2 linked regions of the Saccharomyces cerevisiae S288C genome follow. The gene in region 1 interacts genetically with each later gene. Each region holds a gene or a part of one and is shown in the gene's direction. Other genes may lie near its edges.

What was found.
Region 2: mutations in SRL4 (region 1) and TPA1 together harm fitness more than expected from each alone (negative genetic interaction), as found in Saccharomyces cerevisiae (2 studies listed by BioGRID).

What each region holds. Positions count from the first base shown.
Region 1 is NC_001148.4:486,588-489,966, reverse strand, and holds SRL4 (Srl4p), read left to right. Parts: upstream 1-1,759; coding exon 1,760-2,605; downstream 2,606-3,379. Other genes in the region: SVL3 (Svl3p), read left to right, coding at 1-1,080; YPL034W (uncharacterized protein), read right to left, coding at 2,758-3,255. UniProt on the Saccharomyces cerevisiae protein: May be involved in the regulation of dNTP production. Induces the SOS system when expressed in E.coli, therefore, it may play a role in DNA metabolism and/or in genome stability.
Region 2 is NC_001137.3:249,692-254,318, forward strand, and holds TPA1 (oxidative DNA demethylase), read left to right. Parts: upstream 1-2,036; coding exon 2,037-3,971; downstream 3,972-4,627. Other genes in the region: ISD11 (Isd11p), read left to right, coding at 1,027-1,311; mitochondrial 37S ribosomal protein bS18m RSM18, read right to left, coding at 4,280-4,627. UniProt on the Saccharomyces cerevisiae protein: Prolyl 3,4-dihydroxylase that catalyzes 3,4-dihydroxylation of 'Pro-64' of small ribosomal subunit uS12 (RPS23A and RPS23B), thereby regulating protein translation termination efficiency.

The sequences.
Region 1 (3,379 bases):
AACTACGGAGACTCTCCAGTGAGATCTCCACCACCTGTTGTAAGCTCTCAGCCACAAATGAACTCACCATTATCCTCACATTCACAAACTTTCGGAGAGAATAATGGCACGAATGACAAATTACTACAAGAACGCGAATTGCAACTCCGTAAAAAGGAATTAGAGCTACAAGAACGTGAACTGGAGTTCCAGAAAAGAGCATTACAGCAACAAAGATTTAATAATAGCAATAATTCAATTCCAAGAAAGCCTTCCTTCCCTCAATTACAGCAGTCTGCAAACGTTCGTTCTAACAGCAGAGGAATGCATGGCACCAATGGCGCTATGTCTCAACCTGCATCCGCCGGAAATTTTGTAGACCCAATTTCTTCAAGTATCGCTGCATATGACCCGCAACAACCTCCTTCCTTACCCCTACAGCAGCCACAACAATCGGTACAAGTACAACCTTTTCACTCACACTCTATCAAGCCCACAAGTAGGAAGAATAGAAATAGTAATATGCCTAATATTGGTAATCCTTCCAGTATAAATATGAGTGATTTTGGCAGACCACCGAACAATTCAAGTCAAACTCGCTTAAATTCCATGCCAACGCATAGCATCGTAAACCAGAATAGATTGAGATCACAACAATCGAAAAACAAACTGAATATGCCACATGCCACCAACCCAAACAATACTTTTAACCAAGTCCCTGCTCCTAGTTTAAACAATCACGTTCCCACACAAAGGCAATTTAGCTCCAGTACCATGATAGAAGTTACAAATAATAACAACAAAGTTAATAACAGTAGTAGCAACCCTGATATTTCCACCAACTCGGTAGTTCATAACGCAATGCAATTTACAAATACAAACAACAATACAAGTAGCACTGTGGATATAAACGATCCCAAAAATATTGCACCCCCTCCTACAACCTCTGTTTCAGCCCCAAGCACTCCAACCTTGTCCTCATCAAGTCAAATGGCGAATATGGCTTCGCCTAGTACCGATAATGGTGACAATGAGGAGAAAAATGGTGGTAAGAAGAAGAGATTTGGCCTATTCAAAAAAAAAAATAAATCAAAGAAATAATATCCTTCGACAGCTTAATGAACACGCATGTAAATGTTTTGTAAACAGTTTGTTTTTTCGTTTTTGTATCTGTTAATTTTCTATTATTTATTTTTTTAGTTTTTTTTTGCGGTAGAATTGGGTTATCACTGAATCTATTTTATTTTTTGGGTTGGTTTCTCCCTGTTTTCAGTTTGTTTGAATTGGTGTTTAACAAAATCTGGAATTATTCACTATAATTATTTCCTCTTTTTAGTTTGACCAAATAAACTCAACTATCTTGTGTTATTTCTTTGTATTATAGCTTTACACATATTTAACTATCCATACCTTTTACTTTTTGTATATACTGTTAATTTCATAAAACACGTTTTAGTACCAGAAAATCGTGTCATAGCACCGTTTTAGCAGTGATTTTTAAAATTGTCCAAGGTGCCAATAAATACTGGTGGGAACAACATTTTAATTAGAATAGCTAAAACCTTCTAAGAAAACTATCCCAGCGTAGAAAGAAAGAAATCTCTATCAGCCGCGCAAGTGCAGTATCTCTTATTTTTGCACGGCCCCGTCGCTATATTGTCACACGCATTTGAATTAGTGACTCAATAATAATACAGATTTGTGACGTATAAAGAAACCACAGAAAAACTGCGTATGTCCGAAGCACAGGTCCACTAGTAATAGAGCCCAAAAATCTGACATGAAGAAAACAATTTACAAAGTCCTCGTAAGTTTTTATCAATATGTCGGTTTAGGTAAAAAGTTCCATCCTAGCCACGATACAGTATTAATTATTGGCGGTTCTTCAAATGAGTTAGGCATCGAGCTCTGCGAGACATTTATAGAAGATTATCATACAAAGGTTATAAATATTGACACTATAGACAGTATTAATGGAAAAAACGCAAGGAGAAGTGAAAAACTGTATACTTTTATTTCTTGCAAAGATTTCAGTGACATAAAATGTCTTGAGGAATCCATGCTTTACCTTCAAAATTTAGAAATAATTCCTACAGTGCTCATTAACAACATGCAGGAGGGAATCGAATCGACTCTTCTCAAAGAAGACAAATTTTTGAGACTTGATGAAGAGTCTTTAAATGAATTCGAGAAAATCGTGAGGTATAATTTACAAAGTGTAATATTGATAACTAAGTTCTGCTTGAGTAACATTTTTCCAAAGGTTCAAGCTGAAGCTCAAGAAAAAGCAAAGGGGTTCTATATTGTCAACATATCATCGGTATTGACGTTAAAACCGTGCAAATCAGGAACACATTTTATTACATCGAAATGTGGTATAAACTCTTTCCACGATGGAATAACCTCAGAGCTTAAATTGAAAGATAGTAATTTGAATGTAAAAACGCTGATTGCATATTTACCCAGTTTTGAAAGTGAAGCACATTGGAAGAGACTTTCCCCGAGTATCTCGAAACATCTCGTCCACTGTCTACTTGAGGGAAGATATGGTGATACAATTCTCGAAAGCAAAAGATCAATTGGTGATATTCTTTTGATAACTGGTTTCAAAAGCTCTTTTACTTAAGGGTACTACAAATCGAAGTAACAGTGATAAAATTGCTAAGCACATATATTTCTATAAATAATTCAAGGAAAAGAAAGGTAACACTACAATTTTTATGATGATAAATAATTTGAATAAACCGGCCAGAATAGGCCAAAAAATTTTTTTTAAGTCTAACGAGATTCTCCTCCAAGGCAATAAGAATCAATAAGTCTTAGTACTGATGGTAGCTCCAATACAGGCACATTGAACCACTCTGTATGCCTCTTTTTTCCAGTTGGATCACACCCATAACAGTAAACCAATCCTTTCCCGTATTTCTTCCATAAAAATTTATGAATAGCGCTTTCGATATCTGGTAGTTTCATTGAACCTTTTCCGCTAATGAAAAATCCACCATCTTTATAAGTGCGTAGGGTTGGCACCTTAGGATCTGGAAGGGAAGGCTTGTGTGAGTGACTTTTATCTTTGATGAAAAGTTTCTCCATTTTTTTTTGTAAGCTTGATAATGAAATGGGCAATAGCCTGTTTGAACTGATATTTTTGCTTTCACTTTTCAATTTCAAGTGGTATAATTTATCGACTTTCTCTGGAGTCAAGTTTATCACTGGATGCTTGCATGTGGTTTGCCATTCTAAAAGTCTTGAATCTACTGTTTTTCGAGTGGTCATTCCTATCTTACATAGAATAAAGTCTCTGTCTACCCATTGTCTCTTCTTTTTACCATTAGTCCGAACTATTGACTCATCAATAAATAGCCATTTTAAATCTACCGTCTTTTCAGATATGTATGAT
Region 2 (4,627 bases), on another chromosome or scaffold:
TATAATAGCCTCTCCCAACAATGGAATGCCAACAATTATCGAATTATTCACCAGTTTCTCAGGTATACCTTGTATACCTAATATCTTGTATACCTGATATCATAATGTTCAATAACAGTAAAGTGCTAATAATTATGTATTTTTTTGCCGATTTTTCAATATTTCACCTGTTTATCGGTGTCAAAGTACTACGTTTAGTTTACTGTAGGGTTAGTTGATTTTTTTACGGCTAAATTTATGTTGTATTACGGGCTCGAGTAATACCGGAGTGTCTTGACAATCCTAATATAAACAGTCTTAGGGAAGTAACCAGTTGTCAAAACAGTTTATCAGATTAATTCACGGAATGTTACTTATCTTATATATTATATAAAATATGAATCATATTAAGTGGTGGAAGCGCGGAATCTCGGATCTAAACTAATTGTTCAGGCATTTATACGTTTGGGTAGTTCAGCTAGGGAAGGCCGGGTTTTATCTCATGTTGTTCGTTTTGTTATAAGGTTGTTTCATCTGTGTTTTATGAACGTTTAGGATGACGTATTGTCATACTGACGTATCTCATTTTGAGATACAACAATTTACAGTTGTACTGGTCCTATAGTGTAGTGGTTATCACTTTCGGTTTTGATCCGGACAACCCCGGTTCGAATCCGGGTAGGACCTTTTTTATTCATTTTTACATAATATATGCTGAATATATTGGTTAAAGAGGTTTTTTTAGTTCCCAAATGTCCACAGTAAAGTAGATAAAGCAATAGCTATTTCCATCAAATCCAAACAATATTGTATTACCCACTTATTATTAAACAATGCATTTATTGGAGAAACACCCGCTTTCCGGGTAATAGCAGTCTATTTATTCTCATTCATTTATAAGCGGCGGAGAAAAATGATTGAGGAATTGATATAATTACACAGTAACTTTACGGAGCCTAAGGTAACAAGTGAAGTTTGGATAGCAGTTTTATTCCCATTTTTATCTGCAGTATAGGGAACTTGGAATCACCTTTTGAAAGAAGAGAAATGCCTGGATTTACAGCTCCAACAAGAAGGCAGGTGTTGTCTTTATACAAGGAATTCATCAAGAATGCTAATCAATTCAATAATTACAACTTCAGGGAATACTTTTTAAGTAAAACAAGGACTACTTTCAGAAAGAACATGAATCAGCAAGACCCAAAAGTGTTAATGAACCTATTTAAGGAAGCTAAGAACGACTTAGGTGTCTTGAAAAGACAGTCTGTTATTTCTCAGATGTACACATTTGACAGGCTGGTCGTAGAACCATTGCAAGGAAGAAAACACTAAAACCTGGCCTAACTGGTCATTGCATGTAAGAAAGAACTTTCCAGTAATTTTTTCCTTCTCACGTCAGGAAATTCGTATGGTTATATCTTATAGAGAGGTGGCCGCCTTTAATTTGGAAAAGATATTATTAGATGATATTCCTAATTTTCGACCGATACTTTGCATGGTTGGACTTCAATTAGATCATGTAATTTACTTCCTTAATATCAATAGCATTTCTTTTTTGGTAGAAGATTTTTCTTTTCTTTTCTTTTCTTCAACCCACATGGGACTATAAGAGGAGAGTTTATAGCTTGTATATAAAACGCTATAACTAAAACATAAGCCCACTCTGAGGTGAGATGTCTTTACGGTATGATAACAAGCTGATGCAATGAGAGATCCTATGAATTGCTTGGATTCTTTTACATCAGGCATAAAGTTTCCGAAGTATGCAATAAAATGAGTATTTGCTTATTTATTGTTTGTATCGGGCGATCTTACACCTACTTTATGTGCGTAATAGTTGCATCTTCTTTTTTCGGACCATTCCATCGGATAAACTTCTTAGGTAAAAGTGAAAAAAAAAAAAAATTCGCTTATATATTAATCAAGTCATCACTTGGAAGCCGTTCTCTTCCGTTTACAACACGAAGAGCCAACTGTTTTCTTGTGTCATTCTTTAGCACTCTTTCTTTTTATTTTTACATTTTTTAATTAAGATCACCAAATATACCGGGAATATAATGAAGAGAAAAACTGCTGAAGTTAAAGGTGAGAAGGAGAGAAATTCCAAACAAATTTCCCTCGAAGAGGACAAGATAAAGGGTATGTTCAACCCTAAAATCTGGGACAAGACTTTCCAGGATGGCTTGAAAAAGGAAATTGAAGACTCTCAGCCTTACAACTGGGGTACTATTCATGAATTGGTTAATGACGATCTTCTACGTGCTGTTCGTAAAGAAATAGAAACTGAGATCCATTTCACTAAAAAAGAAACCGATATCTATAGAGTCAACCAAAGTGGTGACTTGGCCAATTTGTCTGGTCTGGACTGGGATGACTTGTCCCGTTTGCCTAATTTGTTCAAGCTGCGCCAGATTCTGTATTCCAAGCAATATCGAGATTTTTTTGGCTACGTCACCAAAGCTGGTAAATTGTCTGGTTCTAAGACCGACATGAGCATCAACACTTACACAAAGGGATGTCACTTGTTGACTCATGATGACGTTATTGGCTCTAGAAGGATTAGTTTCATTTTATACCTACCAGATCCCGACAGAAAATGGAAATCGCATTATGGTGGTGGTCTAAGACTTTTTCCAAGTATTTTACCAAACGTTCCACATTCCGATCCATCTGCTAAACTAGTTCCACAGTTCAATCAAATTGCTTTTTTCAAAGTTTTACCGGGTTTCTCTTTCCACGATGTCGAAGAAGTCAAAGTTGATAAGCACAGATTATCTATTCAAGGATGGTACCATATTCCACAAGTTGGCGAAGAAGGTTACATACCTGGTGAAGAAGAAGCGTGGGTCCGTAACAACACATCCACTTTGGCGCAGATTGAATCTAATGTCCTAGAAGATTTTGAATTTCCAAAGGACGAGAGAAATATTTTATCATTTCATGAAGTGAAGCACTTTGAAAAAATGCTCAAGGGCGATGCTGGCGCAAAAACTGATAACACACCTAAAGAATCTATGACTAGTGTGATTTCTGATTCGGTTAAGTTGTCTGAAGCCGAGTTCACCTATCTATCTCAATACATCTCTCCTGAACATTTAAGCTCGAAAGGTATCGAAAAACTACAAAAGCAGTTTGTTGAGAACTCTTCTCTACAAATTGAGTCGTTTTTAAATGACGATAAATCAGAATTGTTAAAGAAGGTTATCAAACAAAAAGAGTTGGAACAGGAATGTCCTTATCATTCAAAAGATGTGAAAGCTCCGTGGAAAACGGCTATTCCTCCACACAAAGCCCGTTATTTGTACATCGACGGTAAGGAATACCGTAATTTCCAAACAGAAGCTGATATTCTTGAGGCGCTGAATAACAATGATTTGCCAAACTTTCAGTTTACTAAGGACGCAATTAAAATTATCTCCGATGCTTCCGGAAATAGTAGGGAAAACAATTTTGATGCAGAATTAGCGTTGATTGACCTAGCTGTATTTCACAAGAGCACAATTTTCAAGAAATACCTAGCTCTTCTAACTTCTTTGTGCCCAGTCAGTGAGCAAATCCTTATTAGAAGGTTTAGGCCAGGAATGGATTTCACATTGGCCACCAAATGTCGCTTTAATGAACTTTTGAAAAGCAATCCAGATATAATCGATGCTGTCTTGGAAGGTACTTTGTGCTTGACACCTTCTGCCGGTTGGGAATCCGGAGAGCTTGGTGGTTACGAATTGTACATGATGGACGACGACGAAGATAATAAGCAATACTTAAAGGAAGACGTTGAAGACGCTTCTGTTTATCGTGCGGATGACAGTGGTGATTCAGTATTGATTAATGATCCACCTGCTTGGAATACTTTCAATTTGGTCTTGAGAGATGAAAGTGTTTTGGAGTTTGTTAAGTACGTCAGCTGGAGCGCTAAATCTAGTAGATGGGATGTCAAAATGAAGTGGGATGTCAAATCATGTGATGAAGATGGTCAGGAAGATGAAGCGTAAACAATTAACCCGTCTTATTAAGTAAATGGCAGCTTAGATATTTATAAAGTTGTATAATAGAAGTAATAAAATTATTTGAAAAGTTATTCGTCAATTTCAGCTTATTCCTCTGGCGTGAATATCATTACCATAATCCAAATTCGAGTAAGCGAATAAAACGGGTATATTAAAGAAATATAAGAATGAATATAAGTTTAACTTAAGATCTAATTGCGATTCTTTTTACATATTGTATATTTACAGACAGAACTATGAAATGCCTTATTTTCTTAATTATTTCATGTGGAGAAGCATTAGTGTAGTACAGTTCACATTAATCCTATTGCCTGGCACCGTCTAATGGCTTTCGATAGTCTTCTTTGATTCTTTGCCGATAAGCCTGTGATATCCCTATGTTGGATTCTTCCCGTGGAGGTCACATATCTTGAAAGTATTCTTGGTCTTGCATAAAATTCTAGTGGATTTGCACCGGACTTCATTATATCGTTCCTGTTTGAGTTCTTGTTTGCCTGATATTTTCTATCTAAATGGATTCGTCCCATAGAGAAGTCAAATGGATCGTAGATAGTACCTTTGGGAAGTTTTTTGGACAAAGACTGATCGATTTTCTTTGTTTGTTGCGTTCTCCCCATTTCAATATTGACACTCTTCTTTTC